Linked DNA regions of Drosophila melanogaster. Changing the gene in region 3 together with the main gene of any one other region gives a genetic interaction. Each region holds a gene or a part of one and is shown on either strand. Other genes may lie near its edges.

The links.
Region 1: of w (region 3) and Pcl, changing one suppresses a phenotype caused by changing the other (phenotypic suppression), as found in Drosophila melanogaster (4 studies listed by BioGRID).
Region 2: of w (region 3) and pho, changing one suppresses a phenotype caused by changing the other (phenotypic suppression), as found in Drosophila melanogaster (7 studies listed by BioGRID).

The regions. Positions count from the first base shown.
Region 1 is NT_033778.4:18,133,751-18,137,509, reverse strand, and holds the start of Pcl (polycomblike), read right to left. Parts: upstream 2,085-3,759; 5' UTR 1,587-2,084; coding exon 99-1,586; intron 40-98; coding exon 1-39. Other genes in the region: Hsf (heat shock factor), read left to right, coding at 3,430-3,639. UniProt on the Drosophila melanogaster protein: Polycomb group (PcG) protein.
Region 2 is NC_004353.4:1,179,884-1,183,642, reverse strand, and holds the start of pho (pleiohomeotic), read left to right. Parts: upstream 1-2,014; 5' UTR 2,015-2,053; exon of another isoform or gene 2,054-2,275; intron 2,276-2,361; 5' UTR 2,362-2,504; coding exon 2,505-2,595; intron 2,596-3,759. UniProt on the Drosophila melanogaster protein: Polycomb group (PcG) protein that binds to the 5'-CNGCCATNNNNG-3' sequence found in the regulatory regions of many genes.
Region 3 is NC_004354.4:2,794,722-2,798,480, forward strand, and holds the start of w (white), read right to left. Parts: upstream 1,746-3,759; 5' UTR 1,588-1,745; coding exon 1,516-1,587; intron 1-1,515. UniProt on the Drosophila melanogaster protein: ATP-dependent transporter of the ATP-binding cassette (ABC) family which transports various molecules including bioamines, neurotransmitters, metabolic intermediates and second messengers.

The DNA.
Region 1 (3,759 bases), on a different chromosome or scaffold from region 3:
GTTGACCCGATGCTTCTCATCCCAGCTGAGCTTATCCGCCTGTGGGTAAAACCGGATTAAGAATCTAATCCGCTGGCTTGGGTTCGTAGAATACTCACATGGTAGGGCAACTGGCGACAAATTCCCGCTGGTTTTGTGATCTTATGGCTGACAGGCTGTTGCATTTTCATGGGTTTAGCGCAGCGTTTGCAACTCCAAATTCCACTGCCAGTAACAATTTCAACGGTGCAACCACGATGGTAGCCACGTCCGCAGCGCTCGCAAATTTCGACCACATCTTCGATATCCGATCGCTTGCAGGCCACGCACATGGGTCCACTGGGGGAGGTATTCGTGGATTCCGTGGTAGAGGCACCGCCTCCGCCAGCGGTAATCGAGCTACCGCCACCTAGCTTGCGCAGCTTATCCGGTTCACACCATTGCTCCGACTGGTCATCAAAGCGGATAAGATATTGATCGCTTGTCTGGTCAATAATGGTGCCCAGGTAAAATCTGCCATCGTTGCATTTGATGAAGACGTCCTCCTGAAGCGCATACGTGACCGCTGGCGAGGGAGCGGCAACTGGTGGTGCCGGCGGCGGTGGTGGTGGTGATGGAGGTGTTGGCGGCGTTGGCGGTGCTGCTTCGACGGTCTTGAAGCTTGGCTTCATTGAGTTGACGCCTTTGAGCAGCGATTGCGTGGCTAGTAGCGGAGGCGAGGGCGAACTTTTACCGGGTGAACTCATGGCCTCCGGCGTAGTTGGCGGTGTCTGTGGCGTTGTGGTCGTAGAATCCGGCTCATCCACAATCACAACTGCTGCTGAGGTGGTCGCGGTACCACTATAACTGCTGCTGGATACAGAACTGCTGCTGCAGCTGCTGCTATCCGCCGTGCTGCTGTCGATGAGGGGCAGGATGGCCTTGTGCTGGATGGCCGGTATGATGGGCGAAGGTTGTTGGGCCGTGGTAAGCGATGAACTTAGCGAAGTGGGCGTCTCCGTATAGTGGTTATTGATGCAAATGTTTATGCGGTCTAACACGACGGTGGAGGGCGGTGAGGTGGAATTGGTCACAGGCACCAGCGGCGGCGGCTGCAGTTGCTTGCCAGTTCCGCTGGCCGCCAGTAGATTGATTTGTCCCGCAGTTTGGCCACCGCCACTGGGCAAGTAGTACGACTGAACGGGAGCATATGTGGAGTGCGCTTCCTGTGGCGGCTTATTCAGACTGTATACACTTGGCGCCGTCGAGATGATTCGTATGTTGTTGGCCTTGAATGGGCTGCAGCTTGTTGCCGCCTGTTGCTTCGGTGGCGTTGATTGCTGAGCGAAACTGTTCGTGATCTGGATGGTGCTGGGATGTGTGGGATGCGTGGTCTGCGGCCCAGTGGTGGCATAGTATCGCTTGGCCACCGTGGCAGGTCCTACGCTGGGCGGCAGGATCTGGTAGGTGGTCGTCATCCACTGCGGCTGCTGGCCAGCTGGCTGTGCTAAGTAGCCGTAGGTGGCCGGAGGAGCTGATGGGACAGCGGTACTCGGCTGTTGCATGAACGGATGTGCCACGTTCTGCGGTGGATGATCGTGTTGCAAGTGAAAATGGTTGTTCATCATTGCGGCTGTGTGTGCGTGCTAGATGCGTTGATTTTTCCAGTGCGCAGTCTTTTGTGAAAAATATGGATCTTCAGTTCGATTTGCCGGCTTTTCGCGGCCCGTTTTTTCATTGATTTTGCGATTGTTTCCCGCTGATTAACACGAGCTCATTAATCTGGCGCCTTTTTCGTCGAATTTGTTGTTGCCCGCCGACACATACATGCACACTTTTGCTACACATACGGACTGGAGAGCGGGCCCTTTTGTATTCTCTGTGTCTTCCTCATTCGTACTTTTCCACACGCACCACAGGCACTTCTAGTTTCGGTTGCCGATTTACCCACCTTTAAGTGTGTTTCGAATCGTGCATTAAATTAGCATTTTGCTCTTATTGATTCGGCTATCGGCTTTGAACGTCGTTGTCCCAAGTTCATCTTTAACACCAGCGAAAATGCACAAAACAAATCACTTGAAAATTAATTTGTGTCAGCCATTTTTCAACATATGCCCACCAGTGTGACCGCATCCAACAATTGTTCTTTTCGTTACATTTTCATATATAAATCTACCACAACTTATGTATGTTATGGTAATAAAATTAACTTGATTAAAATAAATAAAGAAATATTGGAAATTTGTCACCACAATTTTACATTTTTATATTTTTAAATATATCGAAACGTATAAAATATACCATAAATTTACTTAATTATCCCCACTGTGCCGGCAAAGACTCAGCGGTCTCGTCCTGGAAAATACTAGAAAATACATTTAAATATTTCCTAAAGATTCAAAAACGTTAATATCATACATAATTTACATTTTAAATGTAGAGTGACAATTATTAAATCAAATTAAAAAAAATAAAACTAACATTTATATTAAGGTAAAACTTTTTGATTGTCAAAGTAAATCCTATAGAAATTTCAAAATGAATGTTAATTTTTTTAGTAAGTATGCCCTTTGTATGCTTTTATGTACAACTTATCTAAAATCAAACCAACTAATTTTAATTTTAACTCATAATTATCTTAAAGATATCAAATAGAAAATACCAAATACTAAAATCCCTATCCTTTGGTCTGCCGTATTAAAATCGACAGTTGCCTATCAATTAATGTTATGGGTACACATATCAATACTAGCTTTAAAAACAAATAACAGAATTTGATAAGTTTTTAGTATAATGATCATCTAGTAATTGGGGTCAATTATATGAATACGAAGTTGCGCGCCAGAAAATACTAGATAAAAACCAGAGGACCAAGCAGACAGCTAGCAATGGTATATATAGCAGCGAACTTTAGTTCGATAGGTTTTTACCAAATTGGTCACGCTGCGAACAGAAGCAATTTTACTTGACGGAGGTTTCATTAAATTTTCACTTGTGAATAAAACGCGAAAAAGCACTTAAAAACCGAAGAACTGTGTAAAACAAAAGCGGTACGCCAAGAAAGTGAAGTGTAATAACTAAACTAAACAAGTAAAACGCGAGTTTTTCACTTCGCGAAAGGTTTGTGAGCTGCAAAATTGTTAAGGTAAGTAGGTTGAGCAGGAGAAGAAGAACTGGAGCTCCATTTGTGCAAGTTGGTGGCTCGAATGACGCACTTGGCTGCAACCGAAAACATTCGATTCGATCAGAGCTGCAACTTTCACATCAAAATTGTACCCATATGTACATTTTACATATGTATGGTGTACCTGGACACGCACACTGATTCCCGCACCCATACACACACTTAAACACACACACATACAGCGGCGTGGAAAAGTGAACTGTAAACTGGAAAAAAAGCGTTTGTGTTGGTGTTGGTGTGCAGTGAATTCATTGAGTAGTACTCCTTTCCAGGCTGCTGGTCACTTTATGTCCAGGTCGCGTTCATCCGCTAAAGCCGTGCAGTTCAAGCACGAATCGGAGGAAGAGGAAGAAGACGAGGAGGAGCAGCTGCCTTCCAGGAGAATGCACTCTTACGGAGACGCCGCGGCCATCGGAAGCGGGGTGCCGGCCTTTTTGGCCAAATTGTGGCGCCTGGTGGACGATGCCGATACCAATCGCTTGATTTGCTGGACCAAGGTAAGCCTACGCCGCCATATTGTTTATTTACCTTTCCAGGGACTCCCCTCCCACCACATACCGCTAATCAGCATGGCAACAACAATGACTTGGCCATGCAGGTGTCTCAAGCTCTCTTTG
Region 2 (3,759 bases), on a different chromosome or scaffold from region 3:
CCACAAAAAAAAAAGATCAATATCCCAAGCGGGCAATCTCGCACCGGAAATAATATAAACAAATGGGCAATATGTGACATATTCACATAATCAGCACTTTCAGAAGAAATACAGAGTGGCGATTCCACGCCATGTACGCTAGCTGTATACAATAAATATCTTAAGCGGGCGATCCCGCTCCAGAAATAATGTAAACATAGGCAGTATAAGAAAGATTTTTGTCACTAACATATAGTCTTAAGCTGAGATCAAAAGAATAAAGACGTGAAAACCATCTCTATGATAATTTTTTATTTCTTAGCGTTGACCTTAGTCAACTGAAATTAGTTAGACTCAAATATATAACAATTATTTTACTGTATGCATGTATGCATATAGTAATGCATATTAGTTTACTTTTCCATGAAAATGCATTAATTATATATGTAATTGTATTTGTTGTATAGAAGCAATTACTGGACCACCGGCGGATGAAAAGGTGGACGACAATACGCAGCCTCTTTATTGAAGCAATATTAAAAAAGAAAATAATAAATTTAATAGATGAATTCTTTTTTGTTTTTATTTAAAACGTCGATGTTTTTTCAACATATTTCGCCAAAAACATCGATGTCCGCCATCATCGATATTTCTCAATCTCTATTAACAGAGTCAAATCAAAGACATTAGAATAACATGATTGGTAACGACCATACGTTGGTTTAGCACAATGCAGTCACTTTTTTGGTGACGGTCAATATTGACATTCTCTGGTAATCGAATTCGTAAGAATTTTACTTTTGTCTGGGCGAAATTAAAAGTAAATGCCTGTTATACATACATATATCTATCAAATCAGATCTTATTAACTAAGGAAAAAATATTTTATTCAGTGGTCTATCGATGTTAATTCCAAATCACCACAAGATCATTCTGCCAATGCGTTATTATACAAAAAATGTATTTCCGACCCCACCTCAGATTTGACAAACAACATTTTGCCGTCAGCAACAAATATTTTCGATTTAGCAAGGGGATTAGCAAAGGAGAAGTACGTTCCCAATATTTATTGCGAAGGCTGCCATACTGTTGGTAAAACGAAACAGGCAGGTAAAAATACTTATAAAATATAAAAGAATTCATTAATGAATTTCAGGAATGGCCAAAAGAGTTGTATGTATTTAATTAAATGTATTTTTATTACTTAAATGTCAAAGTGCAATAACAAAGTAATTGCGAACGTCGGACTTAAAACTGTAAAAAAAGGTGTCCGCTCTATGGTCTGGAAAACAGCTTGAACAGCTGTTTAATGTTTACAAAACATTCCGATAGCAAAAATTTTGCGAAAACCAAAACAGCTAAAAACGAAATCAAAAGATTTTGCCCAAATCGAAATAAAAAATAAAAATTACAGGAGCATGATTGACTATAAATTATCGCTGTGCATGCTTGGCATCTCTTACATCAGCACAAAACACAAGGATTGGCAGAATTGGCGCTTTTTCAAATCTACAGCAGAACACAAGATCAGTAGAGATGTTGAACCATCGGTGCCTGATCCCACGCAGTAGAAACTTTCCCCTTTCGTTTAACAGTTGCCTCTTTTAAATCTGTTCCAGTCTCATGTTAAGCTTTGTTAACGATGGGAAATTGGTTATAGCATGATTGCACTCGTTTTCCGAAATGAGGATGATTCCATTTCCACATTTTCGAAATGTATTTGTGGACCGTATCATATGAACTTTATTTATCACTAAAACTAATAGAAAAATATACACATTCTTTGATAGGATTTTCTTTAAGCATATGAAAAATTTAATTCATATCGGTTTACAAATTTGTAGTATTATTTAATTTTATGTTTTGCATGTATATTTCAAGCTATACCGATATAATTACAGAGATTACAGCCAGCTTGTTCTATATTTAGAAGCTAGTCGACGTGGAATCAAGATATATTTTGCGTTGTAAAAAAATACTAAAGTTTAGTATGTTGCAAAAAACCCAAATATTTAGGCATCGAATACCCATGCCAAACAAGCAGAATAACCTTTTCAATATTTTGAGTCATTTGGTATCGCGTTTTATAAAAATTACTTGAATTCTTTTGTTTTCCTCGGCTTTTAGTGAAACAATTCGACTATCATTAAATTTATGTGGCGTTTAATTAATCTTTCGTATTATTTCAATCAGAATTTTTTTAACATATTCACTACATTTTCTTAGAGAACCGTTTGTCATATTTAATGTATATTATGTTCCCTACTTAAATATGACAATTATTAATTCTGTGTGTGTACGTATCAATCATCCGTGATATTATATTCATGTCTTATATTGCCTACATATGGAATAATGGCAGTAAAAATGCTGTTCTTTCAGATACATCAAATAGCCTCAGGGAATGCAACGCTCAGGAAACATACAAATCTTACCTAACACATGTGCCTACAATTATCCTGGCATTTGAAATGCTTTAATACTAACTTTAAACTCATGCGTATGTGGATTATAGTATTGTAAATATGGCATACGAACGTTTTGGAATTATTCTTCAAAGTGAACAGTACGATGAAGATATAGGCAACACAAAAGTCAATCAGAAAATGAATGAAGGTAAGTTCGGATTTTACAGGCATGTCTATGTTTTGAAAATCGAATTATAGCAACAAAGCACTTTTTTATAAAGCGTAACAACAAAATACTGTTTAATGAAGCATAAAATATAAACATATTTACTTGTTATACCCGTTAGTCCTAGAGTAAAAGGGTATACTAGATTCGTTGAAAAGTATGTAGAAGGAATCGACCACAGTATTCTTACTCATGATCACTAGCGCCAAGTCGATCTGCCCGTATAAACGTTGAGATCTCGGGAACTAAATAAAAGATGTGAAAGTTAAGATAAAGCATGCACATTCTAGAGAAAATTACCACTTCTACTCCAACGCCCACAAACCTTCAAAAACTGTCAAAACTAAAATTTTAATATTGTTTAAGCCGCCATACTAACATTTTTAAGCCAAGCCCAGATCGTTAATGTCAGCTTTTAAGCGCCTTGGCATCGAAGAAATGAAGTATCATCAGATTGTTCAGTAATATGTTAGGTTAAGGTTTTTCCAAAGGAGGCAAGACTCGGAAGACTATCACTCAAAACACAGTGTTGACGGGTGTGAGGCTAATCCTCATCTCTCGTGAGTTACCTGTAATGGCGGAGACGCCGGGTACCCATGTAAGCGTTAGTTTGGGTGTGCTGTAGACGTTCAAGTTCAATAATGGTGTTGCTCACAGGCACGCTCTTGCTAGTGTTCGCTTGAAATGTTAATATGCCGCATGACTGTCCACAATCAAAGCTGTTATTCTGATTCCCATCTGACTCACATCGTTCTTTAATTGCTAAACTGCAGAGTCCTTATACCCTTGTGAGCGTTAGTTTAGTGTGCCGTAGATCTCCCAGTTCCATGATGGTGTTGCGCACAAGACCCGTTACCTTTTCGCTTTTGGCTTAAAGATTTAAAGAATATTATATGGATATGTACGGATTTGCGGATATCCTAATGTGCTTTTGAAGACATAGAATTTTAATTTAAAGTATTTTTAATTAGCTGCGCAAATAATTTTGTATAGAGAATATAGTAGCTAATTTGGTTGAAAATTTATCACGCTATATAAGTATTCTTAAACTCGCAAAGTAAAAGGGGTTTCGAAAAACAATGGCAACCGAAGGAAGCGTTCCCGACCCTATAAAGTATATATATTTTTGATCCAGTGAACTACCCA
Region 3 (3,759 bases):
TGTAATATCCGTTTTCAGGCACTCCTCGAGCAGAGCGAGATGGCCATATGGCTGGGAAAGAGATAGAGGGACATGGCGAAATTGTTTTCACAACAAATGAGGCCGAAAAATGTTATTAAAAAGTTTTCTTTTCTTTTCTGTTTTCGCCGTCCCTTTCCCACTGGGTTTTCTTATCTCCCTGCCTCCTCTGGTTTACTCTCCCACCTTTTCCCTATTTTCGTATTTTGTTGAAATAAGTAGCGAAAGATGCTACATTTCATATTTATTTAATTTTTTGGCTTACTTTTTTTTTTATTTACTTTGCGTGCTATTTTTGAATTACTTACGAAATACGAAGGAAACTCGAGGAGTGGGCGCTAGATGGCGCTGTGCAGGGAGGCGAAGGAGTATCGTGATGAACTTGACAAATTGAAATGACTGAATAAAGAAGCGACTCAATTTGTTGTTCCTCCCGTTTTGTCGATTGTGCGAGTGGCTAATGAGTGCACTCAAAAGTCATTCACTTTGATGAGAACGAAATACTGAAGGAGGCGCAATTATTCAGCGGAAAAGCTGACGACCACTCGATATTATTAAGGAAATATCAGAGCGTAAACGGCCCAATATGTACATATATGCAACGAACATATAATTAAAGATGGCTTCAAATATTCCATACATATCATATTTTTCAATACTTTGTTACCTTTACTGCGTTACTTACTTCCCAAAAGAATTAAAGTTCTTATCTCCTTGTATAACTTTTTGAGACTTTTCAAAATTGTTTCAAAGAGCCCGGGGCTAGATATGCAAATCGTACTCACTTATTTATTTTGTTATACAAGCCGAGGTGCTAAGAATTTAAAGCAAGATACGCACGAAGATACCTAGATATCAGATGCTGAGCCCAAAGCATTCGTCTAGCCAAATAATGACCCAGATAAGACTAGATTGTACATTTTTCGTCGAGCGAGACGTGCAAACAACGAGGTATTAAGATCAGGTAGAAGATGCGAGTACACAACCAGAAATGGATACGGATACAGTATCTAGTATCTTGGCAAGCCTAGAGTTATAGACACCCAGCAATGTTGTTGGCCAACTTAAGCCGACTCCTCCCACGCCACCACTGGTTATGCGTCCCTAATTACGATCTACTACATCCAACTATTTGGGGTCGATGTATAATGTAGTGTAGTGTAGTGTAGTGTAGCAAGAAAATATTTGAGAATGAAAGGTGGAAGAAATGAGGACTTCATGGTAAGCTTAAAATATCTGGTTGTTATATTTTTTGTAAAAAAGAATATAGTCGAAAATGAATGCCTTTAGATGTCTTGATCATGATATGATCTCAAAAATTGTCTTATATAGCGAGAACAGCTACCAGAATAATCTGTTTCGTGTCACTATTTGTTTGTGCAATTGCGGTTTGGGATTTTTGTGGGTCGCAGTTCTCACGCCGCAGACAATTTGATGTTGCAATCGCAGTTCCTATAGATCAAGTGAACTTAAGATGTATGCACATGTACTACTCACATTGTTCAGATGCTCGGCAGATGGGTGTTTGCTGCCTCCGCGAATTAATAGCTCCTGATCCTCTTGGCCCATTGCCGGGATTTTTCACACTTTCCCCTGCTTACCCACCCAAAACCAATCACCACCCCAATCACTCAAAAAACAAACAAAAATAAGAAGCGAGAGGAGTTTTGGCACAGCACTTTGTGTTTAATTGATGGCGTAAACCGCTTGGAGCTTCGTCACGAAACCGCTGACAAAATGCAACTGAAGGCGGACATTGACGCTACGTAACGCTACAAACGGTGGCGAAAGAGATAGCGGACGCAGCGGCGAAAGAGACGGCGATATTTCTGTGGACAGAGAAGGAGGCAAACAGCGCTGACTTTGAGTGGAATGTCATTTTGAGTGAGAGGTAATCGAAAGAACCTGGTACATCAAATACCCTTGGATCGAAGTAAATTTAAAACTGATCAGATAAGTTCAATGATATCCAGTGCAGTAAAAAAAAAAAATGTTTTTTTTATCTACTTTCCGCAAAAATGGGTTTTATTAACTTACATACATACTAGTGACAACATGTTTATGTTTAGCTAATGTGTTCCGTTCAAAATAATTAAAAATTCGACCACCTTTGCACCAATATGATAGTACCCCACCTGGGCAGTACTCATAAGCTGAGTGGCTGTCTTTGAATACTGATTAGGTTGAGTGGGAAGCGTCTTCTTATCGTGAATAAGAGAGTTCTTGTTAATCCGCCTGTTGTCGTCCCGTTTCGGGGGTTTGCACTGTACTTTGCATGCATGATTTATCAAACGGCGACTGTTGATGATGCGCATTCCGCACTCCCCGTTTCCCGTACGCCTATCCGCACCCGTACTTCGGACACTCCGGTCGTTGTCGTCATCGTTAGCACCTCATCTCAGGCCCCGGAATCATGAACTGCCGCCATCAGCTGTCCGGGCATTATCAATCTTCATCATCGGGGCCAGTTGGTCCAGGATATGGATCTCGACTGGGACGGGTTTTCCGGGAGGCTATCAATACCATTTTCACGGACGATGTGGTAACAGGTTAGCAGTTGCAGTTGCCGAGGAATCTGCAGGAATTAATTTGCTGACGACGATTAAGTGGTCTTCAAATGAATATGGTTTTCTTTTGAGAGTTTAGCTCAGAATAATAGCTTTTGATTCGATTTGCAAGTTAATTATGCATATGCATGTGATATTTGTAGAAGTCTCACTCAGCACTAGTAACATTATTTCATGTGCCAGTTTTAATGCATATATGTTCTGCTCTACAACAGCTTCAAAGTTCGAAATAAATGATTTTCCTATTTCACTGAAGATCTTTAGCTGACTCAAAGTTAGATGTATGTACGATTCGTAAGAGACTTCCTTTGTGGGCCGATCTAGCGACAGACAACAAAGAAACGTCAATGTTTCACTCATTTTTGCCAACTAACCGAGTTTTTCGCTCAGTGACACTTATGGGGCTTCTTCGATGTTGGTTGAGTGGAGCTCGAATCGGGTTTAGACCGTCTTGAAGTTCGTGTTCGTGTGTGTTTGCCATTACTAACTCACTCAAATGCTGTAAACTTTTTGCACTTAACAATTTATTGTCACTCGCCTGTCGCAGCAGCGAAAGAGCTGAAAAATGGCATTACAACAAAAAGTGCTTAAAACCGATTATGAAATGCTCTAAGGGAATGCTGTAATTAATTAGTTTGCCGTTTTTATGCGCTCTAAATCAATAATAAAGTTAATTGCATACGTATAAGTATGCAGTTCATTTTTTTTAGAGTGGCCTTAACTTGATTTTTGCTTATTAGCCCTGCAATTGAACATTTTTTTTTGCCCTACCTTTGGGATTCTTTAAATTGGTTTGCTATTCCACAATGCAATGCAATAACACCGTATTGAAAAGCGAAAAGGAAGTAACTTGAACTGAGGCGTAGAAAGTTTTTTTCAACACACACTTTTATACTCTCTCCGCACAGTCACACCTACATACATATGTATATATATATATATATATATATATATCGGCAAAGGTAAGTCCCCAGCCATTGTCACAGGAAGTGCGGTCTGGTGGGGGGTTGGGGGGGTTGGTCTGGGTTGACTTAACCCCCAGATTTTCTTGCCTCTGTACGTTTAACCCATGCAAATTATTGACGCGGACAGCGGGCTCAATAAATCTGTGTATGTGTTTGTGTGTGTGTGAGTGGAGAAACTTTTGCTAGCTGCACGCTAATCAGACAGCTTT